2 linked regions of the Schizosaccharomyces pombe genome follow. Changing the gene in region 2 together with the main gene of any one other region gives a genetic interaction. Each region holds a gene or a part of one and is shown on either strand. Other genes may lie near its edges. The genes, in order: sly1 and cog8.

Region 1 (5,103 bases), on a different chromosome or scaffold from region 2:
ATGCTAGGGATATGGACAGACAGGAAGCTCGTGTAGCGTTTGGTAGCCACGTTGAAGACGATGTAGAAAACGAAATTATTTGGTACAAACCAGTTCCTATAAAATTTGAAATTTCTAAAGATGAAATCCATCCTCGTGGATACAAATGTGGAGGGAATGAACGGAATTTGACCCCGGAAGCCACTAGCGAAATAGAACGTGAGAAGAATGAAAGTAAGGATATCTCCACTTTTAACATTATTTTGGATTTGCCTGTTATTCGAGAATTCGATGATTCTCGTCCTCCTGCTCACATCAAGCTAGTCTCGTCTGACACTCAAGCAACAACTGAATTGGGATTTAATGGTTTAGTGCAGCAAGTTTCTGAAAATAACACGAATGCATACTCAGCTACTTCGAATTCGCAATTAAGTTCAATTTTTTCTAATTTGTCATCTTCTATATCAGATGCTTCATCAAACGTTTTACAAAATCCATCTCTTTCGATACCAAATTACTCGAATGCTATATAAACTGAAGATTTTCACAACTTACATATTTTAAGCCATGTCTAACTTAAGTTATAACTGAGAATCTTATGAATTATATGTTTTTGAAATTTTTTTTTGTTAATTTTTTTTTTTTTTTTTTTGTTTGAGTTTTAGAACAGCAATTACATTTTCTTTTTTCTGTTCCCTCAGCTCTTGGTCTGAAAGTATATGTCGTTTACAAATAACCGCGATTTGCGTATAATGAACATTGATGCTTTCCAAATTTTCAATACGATGATGGACTACACAAATTCGACAAAAAAGTCATGTATCAAATTAAGAGTAAATCATTTATTTCATACAATATTGGCTGAACAAACATGATGGCCAAAAAATAAAACTAAATAATTTTTTAAGATAGAGAAGCCATTTCTTCCATAAATTCAGATGGCGATAATATGTCGGTACTACCGTATATGATACGCTTCTTAGGATTTTGTTCACGCGCCCAATCAGCCAGATTACCATATTCTAAATAATTACCACCTCCTAGTACGCAAACAATTGCTTCACTAAAAGTCTGTCTTTTGTTCATGGCCCTAGGATCATTGTTTACAGTAATAGCACGAGCTGATTTGGGATCTAATAATAGATAAGACTCTGTTTGTTTGGAGGCAGGAGAAGAGCCAGGGTCCATTAGACTCTGAACAATAGATGTAATAGTCCCATCCTTCCTGAAGGGAATCAGATTTCTAACCCCCGAAATAATATTTTCAAGGCCACCAATACCGGCTTCTTTAAAGCGGTCGGTAAACTAAAAACAATTAATATGTGCTTTAAGGTGAAAAAGTGTCAAACTATTCTTACCCTTGTGGAAAGACTGCTAAATCCACGAAATAAATTATCTCCTGTTTGACCCGTAGCTGGTCTTGTGGTAGAAGATGCTAACATGGTCATTTTAGTTATTTCACGAACCCTAATATAAGTTAGAAAAAACCAATAACATCAATCAGTATACCTCTTAACAAAATTTAATGCTTCTAATGTACAGCCATTGTTAACCAACGCCTCTTCATATGCCTGCAAATCAGAAGCCGGTACGGAATCAACACTTAAATACCAAATTATAAAAAATCGTAGCTTGTCTTCGGGAGTTCCTTGTTCCTTGTTATTGATGCAAGCGAGAATGGCACTTCTGTTTAGTCCAGTTATATTATCTTCTAACTGAAAAAAGTCATCTAAATGGCGCTCTTGAATAGCTTTTAATAATGCAGTTGCTATATTCATATGCATGTCAAGGATTTGTTTACGAGCTGTAAGCTCTGGGAGCAAGCTAACTGCACTTTTTAAATAAGTCGAATCAGCAAATGCGTCAACATTAACTTCTTCAAGTGAAGAAACACCGGATTTTCGGGTAATTTCACTAGCATCATTTTTATATCGAGTCAACTCTTCATCAATGTTTTCGGCAACTTTAGGAAATGGTTTGCTAGCATTACTTTCCCAGAAAAAATCATTTCCATCTAAATCGTAAAACCGCTTTGTCATTTTTCCATCATCGACTGACTCTACGGTAATCCTATTGAGTTGCATATTTAGGGTATCATGAATCAAAGCTTGGTAAGTCCAAGAATGATTTATCATTGGAATCAAATCGACCGTTCTATCCAGTAAAATAAGAATTGGCCTTGGTTTTGGATTAACAGAAACAAAAGCATCCTTGGTATTCATTAAATGGTCCTTTAGACGTTGATTCAACTTTTGGGCAACCATCTCAGCAGCCGATCCTTGTGGGCAACGAATGATAGGAATGGTTCCGAGTGTAACGATCACTGAAAAGAGACCATTTACAATATCCTGAACGCGTGAATTAATGAGAGCCTCATCTGAAGACGGGTTATGGAACGTATGAAAGATTTTGGGCAGTTGAAGAGAAAAAAAATCACTTTCTAACACAACATAATTAAGATACTGGTCATACACTTGATGAATCATGTGACTTGTATTTGTTTTCGACGCCAATTCGGCAAACTGTTCCAGAAGAGCACGAGAAATGGTAGATGAAAAACAGACATAGGCTGATTCGTAAAGACCCTTCGAAAGATCCTTTAAAATATGTTAGCTTGCTGAACTGTAATACAAAAAAGTATTTGGTATCCGACAATAAGATTAATTGATTGAAAATTATGATACTGAGAAATCCATACCTCTATTATTAGCTCAATGTTTTCTTGAGTAGGTTGAACAAAGTAAATAGCTGGGACATCAGCAATAGGCTGACGAAACGAAGTGATATTCATGTGAACCGTAACGCCATGTTTTCTGAGATCACTAATTCTGAGAACAGAAGAAATAGTCTCCGACCCTGCCTTATCGAAGATTAAAACTTTCCAAATGGGAAAATTAGAGGCATGTTGAGGGCTTGATTCAAGTTCGTTGACGTCTTGGTTCAAATTAAGCAGTTTTTCTAAAGATTCTAAAGGTTCATATTAGCAATGCTTACTGAGAATTATACAGTTTTATTAGCAACACTACTTACGAATTTGAGCTTCTCTCAAAGAAGACGGTGTTTTTACAGATGCAATAGACATCGTGCCAATTCCAACTTTGGCACTAATATAAGCACTTAGAAGGATGATTTGTGTTGAGGGATAAACATAAGAATCATACCCTTCATATGGTGGTGTATGGCAGTGAAGCGAGTCTCGCTAAATGTTCAAAAAGGTAAACAACAAAATAAATATTGAGGTTTGGCTGTTTTACCAAATCTTGTAGTCTTCAATCTTTACTAAAGATTTCTGATTTTCATTAAATTTTTAGATATTTAAAAAAACAGTACTAGTGCACCGGAAACATTCAAAGCGTAGGAAGGAAATCAATCTTGCGTTCAGTAGTTTACTTTTCTAAGATTTAATCTCAGCTTTCTAACTGTGCTTACATTACATATATTTCTAAGAGGTGTTCTTACTTTACTATTTACTTATAAAGATACAATTATTAAAAGAGTATCCAAACGCAAAAAGCTCTTAATTATGAATTTAGCCATTAATGATTTGCATATTCTAAGTGTCTAGGATCATATACGATGGCTAAAGTTGCTCATGGGATCAAATAAGTAGAAGGCATGTCTTCGTTTATTTTTTTAGACTGAATTAAACAAAATATGAAATTATTCATTGATCATTATGATGATAATGATACCGTAGACCTAATCATCGTAATAGTAATTAATTAACAGCAATGATGGATGGAAAATATAATTAAACAATGTATTGATGGAAGGAATTGGGCAAAGTAAACCGAAAATATGACAAAGAAGGTGTCGGACTCGAATAATGATAATGATAAAACAAAAATCTCAAAAAAAACGGAATAAGGACAAGGATAGTGATGACAAAATGAAATGACAGAACGATTATGATAACAAAAAACGGTAGTAAGCAAAGTGTTGGGAGTAACGTCAATAATTGAGCTTTGAAAGAAAAGAAAATGGTGAGTACGTTAATCCTAGAATAGTAAAAGCAAGAATAAGCGATAAATATGGAAGCTCAAGAAAAAAATAAAATTAGTGTGATCAAGCTGAATGCTATCAAGAAAGCAAATGGTAAACGAACTGGTGATGGGGTCGATGGAATGATAGAATGAAGATAGTCAATTAATTGGTTGTGAACAAAGGATAATAGTGATCATGACGAGGAACAATAACAATGATTCTGGAAAGCTGAGCTGTAATCAAACGGGAGAAATAGTAAAGAATTCGTCAGTGGATAGTACAATGATAATGTGTATAAGTGAGAATAGTTGGTTTAATGATAGCAAGCTGGAAAAATGCAAAATTGGCTGGTGGGTTAGCTTAAAACCGGCATCAACGGAAACAGTAGCAAATGGGAAAATATTGTGGTAATAGTAAAAAATGGATAATGGTAAATGAACAAACTACCCATGAAGTAACGGATCGAGAAGGGTTCATGAATTCATCAGCAAGAAGTAAGTAATCTTTAATAGGTAAGAAAAGTAAAAGTTCACAGACCGGCTTCTCTTAGTGATAGAAGAATGGTTTGAAAAACTAATTGACACATTGAATGAATAAAACTCTGCTCAGAAGGTTGAAGGTAATTTTTCTTTAAAGACAAAAAATTACATAATTTAAAAGAAGACATTGGAAATCACGGAAGAGTAGTAATGTGACAAAGCAAAAAAATTTCAAATTTGGGTGGGAAACAATCAAAACGTGTAAAAACGATAAATCAAAAACTTTCAGTAATAAGGTTTAATTAGAGTCAAGAATAAAAAGAGTTTTTTTTCTGAATTTTTTCTTTTTCAATTTTTTTTGGAATTTTAGATTTTTTTAAGGCAATGTTTAGTTAGGTTTGGACAATTTTCAAGTTTTTTTCAGAGGAGTTAGTGTTAAGTTTTTGGGAGTCTCTGTTACAAACTAAATTTGCATGCTGAGTGAATACCCGTAGAATTGAGAATAAGCAAAAATAAATGGAAACATACTGACTTGCTGATGAACAAAAGTTACTTCGCGAGTATTGGAACTAGTCGTTTTCGTGGTCGGATGTTTGAGGATAGTTCGGAACATTGCAGTTGAAAGGAAAAGAGGGAACGGCTGTAAAGGGGATAAAGGGCT
Region 2 (5,004 bases):
TTAATTGATAATTGGAAGGAAGGGTCACAAGCTATACAGTTATTTTATGCATATGAACAAATGCATTTGAGAGCTTTGGAAGAACTACAATCTTTAAAGGAAAGCCTTTTCGCATCTTTTGGTATATAATGATTATTATTTCCTCATTAAGTATTAAATTTAGTATTAAAATTTTTATTTGAAAATTTTATTTCTTCTTCATAACGTTTAACATTCAATTTATTAATATTATTTTTTACCCAGTTCACTTACCCATACTTCAAGCATACACCAGAACCAACGACTTTGTAAAAAGGGCATGTGTTTAATAGCTTACTCAGGGAGCGAATTGTAGCACGACTTTTCATTTTATTTTACATTACTCAGTTAATTTAAGATGAGACTTTTTGAAGGGGCTTTTCAGCCTTGGAAATTGGCGTCTACAAACTTGATGCAACAATGCCTTTTATTAAACAAAAAGTCTCAGTTTCATACAACATGCATTTTACAAGGTTTAAAAAAACAAAAAGCCAACCAACGTCGCAAACAAAATTTGAAAAGAAGGGAAGAGCTGCGAAAGCAAAATTTGGATACATTAGCTGACCCTATCATCGGACATTCGAGTGAATGGATAGCGAGATTATTAAAGCCGTACGAAATATTGGTGGAAAGAAAGAAACCAAATTTTCCTATACGTAGTATAAAATTTCCTGCATCAATGGAAACAATCAATCTTATTGTAGAGAAATTTGAAAAGATTAGGGCCTCGGCTACAGAAGAAACTAAAGATTTTATAAAGCTTAATGAGGTTAACGAATTTCCTTCTAGTGATACATCTTTGGAATCAAATCAAGATGGATTCGAGCGACTTCATCCACTTGCTGAAAGGTTAGAAAGGATGAGTCAATTAAGCGATCTTAGAAAAGAGAGCATTCACCGTATATTTAATATTGAAAATTCGAATTCTAAGACCTTAAGGTTGAATAATAAACAGCTTGCTGTAGAATCCTTTGCTAGAAATGAGCGAGATACTGGAAGTCCTGAAGTACAAGCTGCTGTCTACACAAGTCGAATTTTAGCGTTAAGCGATCATTGCAAGAATCATAAAAAAGATCAAACTGGAAAAAGGATGCTTCGATACTATGTTCATCAACGTCAAAGGATGCTCAAATATTTACGGAAAGTAAATTTTGACAGATATGTCCATTGTATAAAAAATCTTGGCCTTACGGACGAATTAGTTTTACGAGAAGTCACGCAGTAATAATTTGACGAAATTTATATTTGAAGTTTCATATAGTTAAATTCCCTCTCACATGCTAATCTCTTAACTAGATGTTTAACAAACATCCTTATCAATCATTACTGTTTACACCTATTGGATAGTAAGTTTTTGGCTTAGCACTTACCCTTAAAATGAGTAATAAGAACAATTAATTATTTGTTTTTTTTTTTTTAGGAAAAAATATATCTACGCCTGTTTCTCAGAAGATTGAGAATGGATCATTTCTAACCATTCGCTACCAAGTATTTTGGAGAGTGGTATAGAAATGTCTGTTCCCACTTTCGTTAAGCTTTGATTGCAATAATAAAGCTGAAGGAGTAGTGAGAATTTGGAAGTAGAATCTTTAACATTGGGCATAAATTTTTGTAAGACATAGCAAATTTCAAGTTGTAGTTTACGAACGAAGGACGAAAGAATATTTTGACCAAAGTTATTGAAGCCTTCGGGATCCATTTCAAAAGGTGACGCTGAAGTGCTGGTGGAATTAGGTATATCTACTGTACCTGCAGCGTTTAAACGATCATTTGATGACTCACCGAATACACTTTGATATTGAAAAAGGAGAGAAAATGCGCGATCACGAATGACCTGTATATATCTCCGTAAGTACAACTCAGGATTATTGTAGTCAAGCAATGGCACTAAATTTCGAAGGCTTGTTTGTAGTTGTTTCCATGAAAAATAAAGAAAAACGTATTTCAATTGGGCTTCGGACAGTTTTGCAGTTACCCGGAGATAGGTCACTACTTTGATTAATGAGTAAAGCTTTAATGGCTTCTGTAGCTGTAAAATAAGTTTCTCAGTAAGTTTAACCACCAGCGTTTCAACTTGAGTAATTAGTTCTTGAATGATAGAGTTTGTACCAAATCGATCTTTTAATCGATACGCAAGTGCTTGAAATTCCAACGTTTCGGAAAAGTAATTCCTTTCGATACAAGCGTTCATCAACTCTGGTAATTCCAGTATACTACTTAATTGCGGCTGAACTTGATGCATTAGTTTTGCATCTCTGTAATGCTCTGAAATTGAAGTTAGAAAGTTTTGGCTTCTCTTGACAGGTTCATATAGCTGATTTGTATGTAAAACAAGCTCTTTAAAATCGTGTCTACTGTTCTCGAGAAGTTGATAAAAGGCATCTTGATTCCTAGCATAATCGACTAATACATTGTAATTGTCTCGTAACAGTTGCTGGCGTTTTTGCACCAATTTTAATTTTTGAGCATGCAATTCGGCTTTTCGTTTCTCCAGTTCTGCATACGGTTTCATAGTAAGATCTCGAACAAAAGCATCCATTTCCGTTACATTATCCCCTATACTATCCATGTCTTCAAGATCTTTAAGCTTTCAAGTCAGGTTGTACAGCAAAACAATTCTTAGTGAAAACGCGTAAAAAAATCATTCACAACTATCTTCTAAAAAAAAGAAACTAATAGAATCTAAAAGAGCTACACGTTTGGATGAATGCGTTACGAATATAAGTACCTTATGTGTAGTAAGGGTTGGAAAGCACCAGCCTTAATGTAAGGATCCATTCTCGAGTAGAAACTTGCATCTTCATCTTGGAACACTGGCTAGATTTTCCGATCGTTTTGTTTAAAGGATTTAAACAATATTTAATTAAAAAAGGTTGAGCAATAGTATTCGCATTTTCTTTGAATAAAATAAAGCAAAAGCGCTGCGACAATTTAATTTATTTAACTTTTACATAAATCGTAGGCCAAAAAGTTATGAATCCAAAATGGTTATCCTAGGTAATGAAATAGATTGTGAATAAGACTGGATTGAACTGCCTCATCTATGCAGCCTGTATAGTGAAAATAAAATAGCTAGATAAAAAGCATGTAGCAATTGAAACAACCTCATAAAATGTAATGAATTATGAATTTAAGTAACAAATATCTATTTCTCGGACGGCAAAAGTCTAGTAAATATGTGTTTTAATTTCAGCGAACTGTAAACAATGGTGCATTTTCTTTACAGCATTAGTATAGTAACGAAATTTTTATCAAGCTTTCAACGTTTTCTTTACTATTGCACTTATAATTGTATTTGGAAATGAAAGACATATGGAGCTTTATTTCTCTTTCCTCTTCAGGTTTCTGAATTTATTGGATATAATGACACGGTGATACACGTTGTAATGAATTAAAGACTCACATTGCTACACACTATATATTTATAGATATCACCTGCATCTTAGGTTAATTATTAATTAATCTCATCGATCGCTTTCTTCTTACTTTAACAAAAACACATCGAAAGAGATACGATGTTTGATTTGAATACTTGTCTTCGTAAAAATATCTTAGAACTTCAGCCTTATCGCTGTGCGAGAGAGTATGTAATAACTTGATAAACTAGAAAGCGTGATATATATTAACATAGAATATAGTGACTTCTCTGAGTATGTTTTATCTTTATATTTGGGTAATAATTGATATGAGGGCTACTTCTAGAAAGATATTTTATTAGCTGCTTGGAAAGCAATGAAGTACTCCCTGTTTACTGTTGTTGTTGGAGCTGGCGATTTCAGGCCTTTGTTGTTTTTTACCCTTTTCTCGCCTATATATTTTTTGCTAATCTTAATAGAGGTGTCCTTCTTGATGCCAATGAATGTGCTTATGGTTCGGTTATTTCCGTGGACGGTGTGGAATTCAATCGTTATCCGGATCCTAGACAGATCGAAGTAAAGCAAAGATTATGTGATTTGAGAAACAAAGAGCTTTCCATTACCAAGCCACTAACACCAGATAACATTTGCATGGGTGTTGGCAGCGATGAAATTATTGACTCCTTAATTCGCATTTCTTGTATTCCTGGAAAAGATAAGATTTTGATGTGTCCACCTTCGTACGGAATGTATACGGTCTCTGCAAAAATCAACGATGTTGAGGTTGTTAAGGTTCTCCTTGAACCAGATTTCAATTTGAACGTCGATGCTATTTGCGAAACACTTTCTAAAGATAGTGCCATCAAAGTCTTTTTTGCTTGTTCCCCTGGTAATCCAACAGCTAAGGCTCTTAAACTCGAGGATATTAAGAAGATTTTGGAGCACCCTACATGGAATGGAATCGTTGTCGTCGATGAGGCCTATATTGATTTCTCTGCTCCCGATATGTCTGCCTTAACTCTTGTCAATGAATATCCAAACCTTGCTGTTTGCCAAACCCTTTCGAAATCTTTCGGTCTAGCAGGAATTCGGTAAGTTAATCTAAGCTTTTAAGCATTAATATTATTTCTTTACTAACTATGATGTTTAGTATCGGATTTTGTTTGACAAGTAAACCTATTGCTACCATTATGAACTCATTAAAGGCTCCTTATAACATTAGCGAACCCACCTCTCGTTTAGCTTTGGATGCTTTATCCCCTCAGTCGATTGATAAAATGCATACATATAGAGATGCTATTATACAGCAAAGAGTTCGTCTTTGCAAAGAGCTTACTACCATTAAAGGAATGGGCAAGATTATAGGTGGTTATGATGCAAATTTTATCCTCATTCAGGTTTTAGATAGACCAGAAGGAGGTAAGCCTAGTAACGATGCCGCAAAATATCTTTATTTACAAATGGCCACGATGCACAAAGTCGTTGTTAGATTTAGAGGTACAGAGCCTCTTTGCGAAGGAGCATTGCGTATCACTGTTGGCACAGAAGAAGAGAATACGATATTACTAAAAACTATTAAACTTGTATTGCAGGAATACTATACAAAAAAATGAGGTTTCCTTTTCTGGCC

Evidence for each region.
Region 1: of cog8 (region 2) and sly1, a mutation in one rescues a mutant of the other (synthetic rescue), as found in Schizosaccharomyces pombe (one large-scale study listed by BioGRID).

The regions. Positions count from the first base shown.
Region 1 is NC_003421.2:1,921,155-1,926,257, reverse strand, and holds sly1 (SNARE-binding protein Sly1), read right to left. Parts: upstream 3,099-5,103; 5' UTR 3,062-3,098; coding exon 3,010-3,061; intron 2,947-3,009; coding exon 2,678-2,946; intron 2,577-2,677; coding exon 1,489-2,576; exon of another isoform or gene 1,447-1,488; coding exon 1,338-1,446; exon of another isoform or gene 1,285-1,337; coding exon 883-1,284; 3' UTR 785-882; downstream 1-784. Other genes in the region: ppn1 (cleavage and polyadenylation specificity factor complex-associated protein), read left to right, coding at 1-512; mug24 (rrm type RNA-binding protein), read right to left, coding at 5,012-5,103.
Region 2 is NC_003423.3:1,488,194-1,493,197, reverse strand, and holds cog8 (COG complex subunit Cog8), read right to left. Parts: upstream 2,759-5,004; 5' UTR 2,588-2,758; coding exon 1,451-2,587; 3' UTR 1,244-1,450; downstream 1-1,243. Other genes in the region: random septum position protein, DNAJ domain protein Rsp1, read left to right, coding at 1-129; mrps28 (mitochondrial 37S ribosomal protein uS15m), read left to right, coding at 377-1,243; bifunctional histidinol-phosphate aminotransferase/imidazole acetol phosphate transaminase His3, read left to right, coding at 3,534-3,601, 3,657-3,668, 3,854-4,465, 4,525-4,987. UniProt on the Schizosaccharomyces pombe protein: Required for normal Golgi function.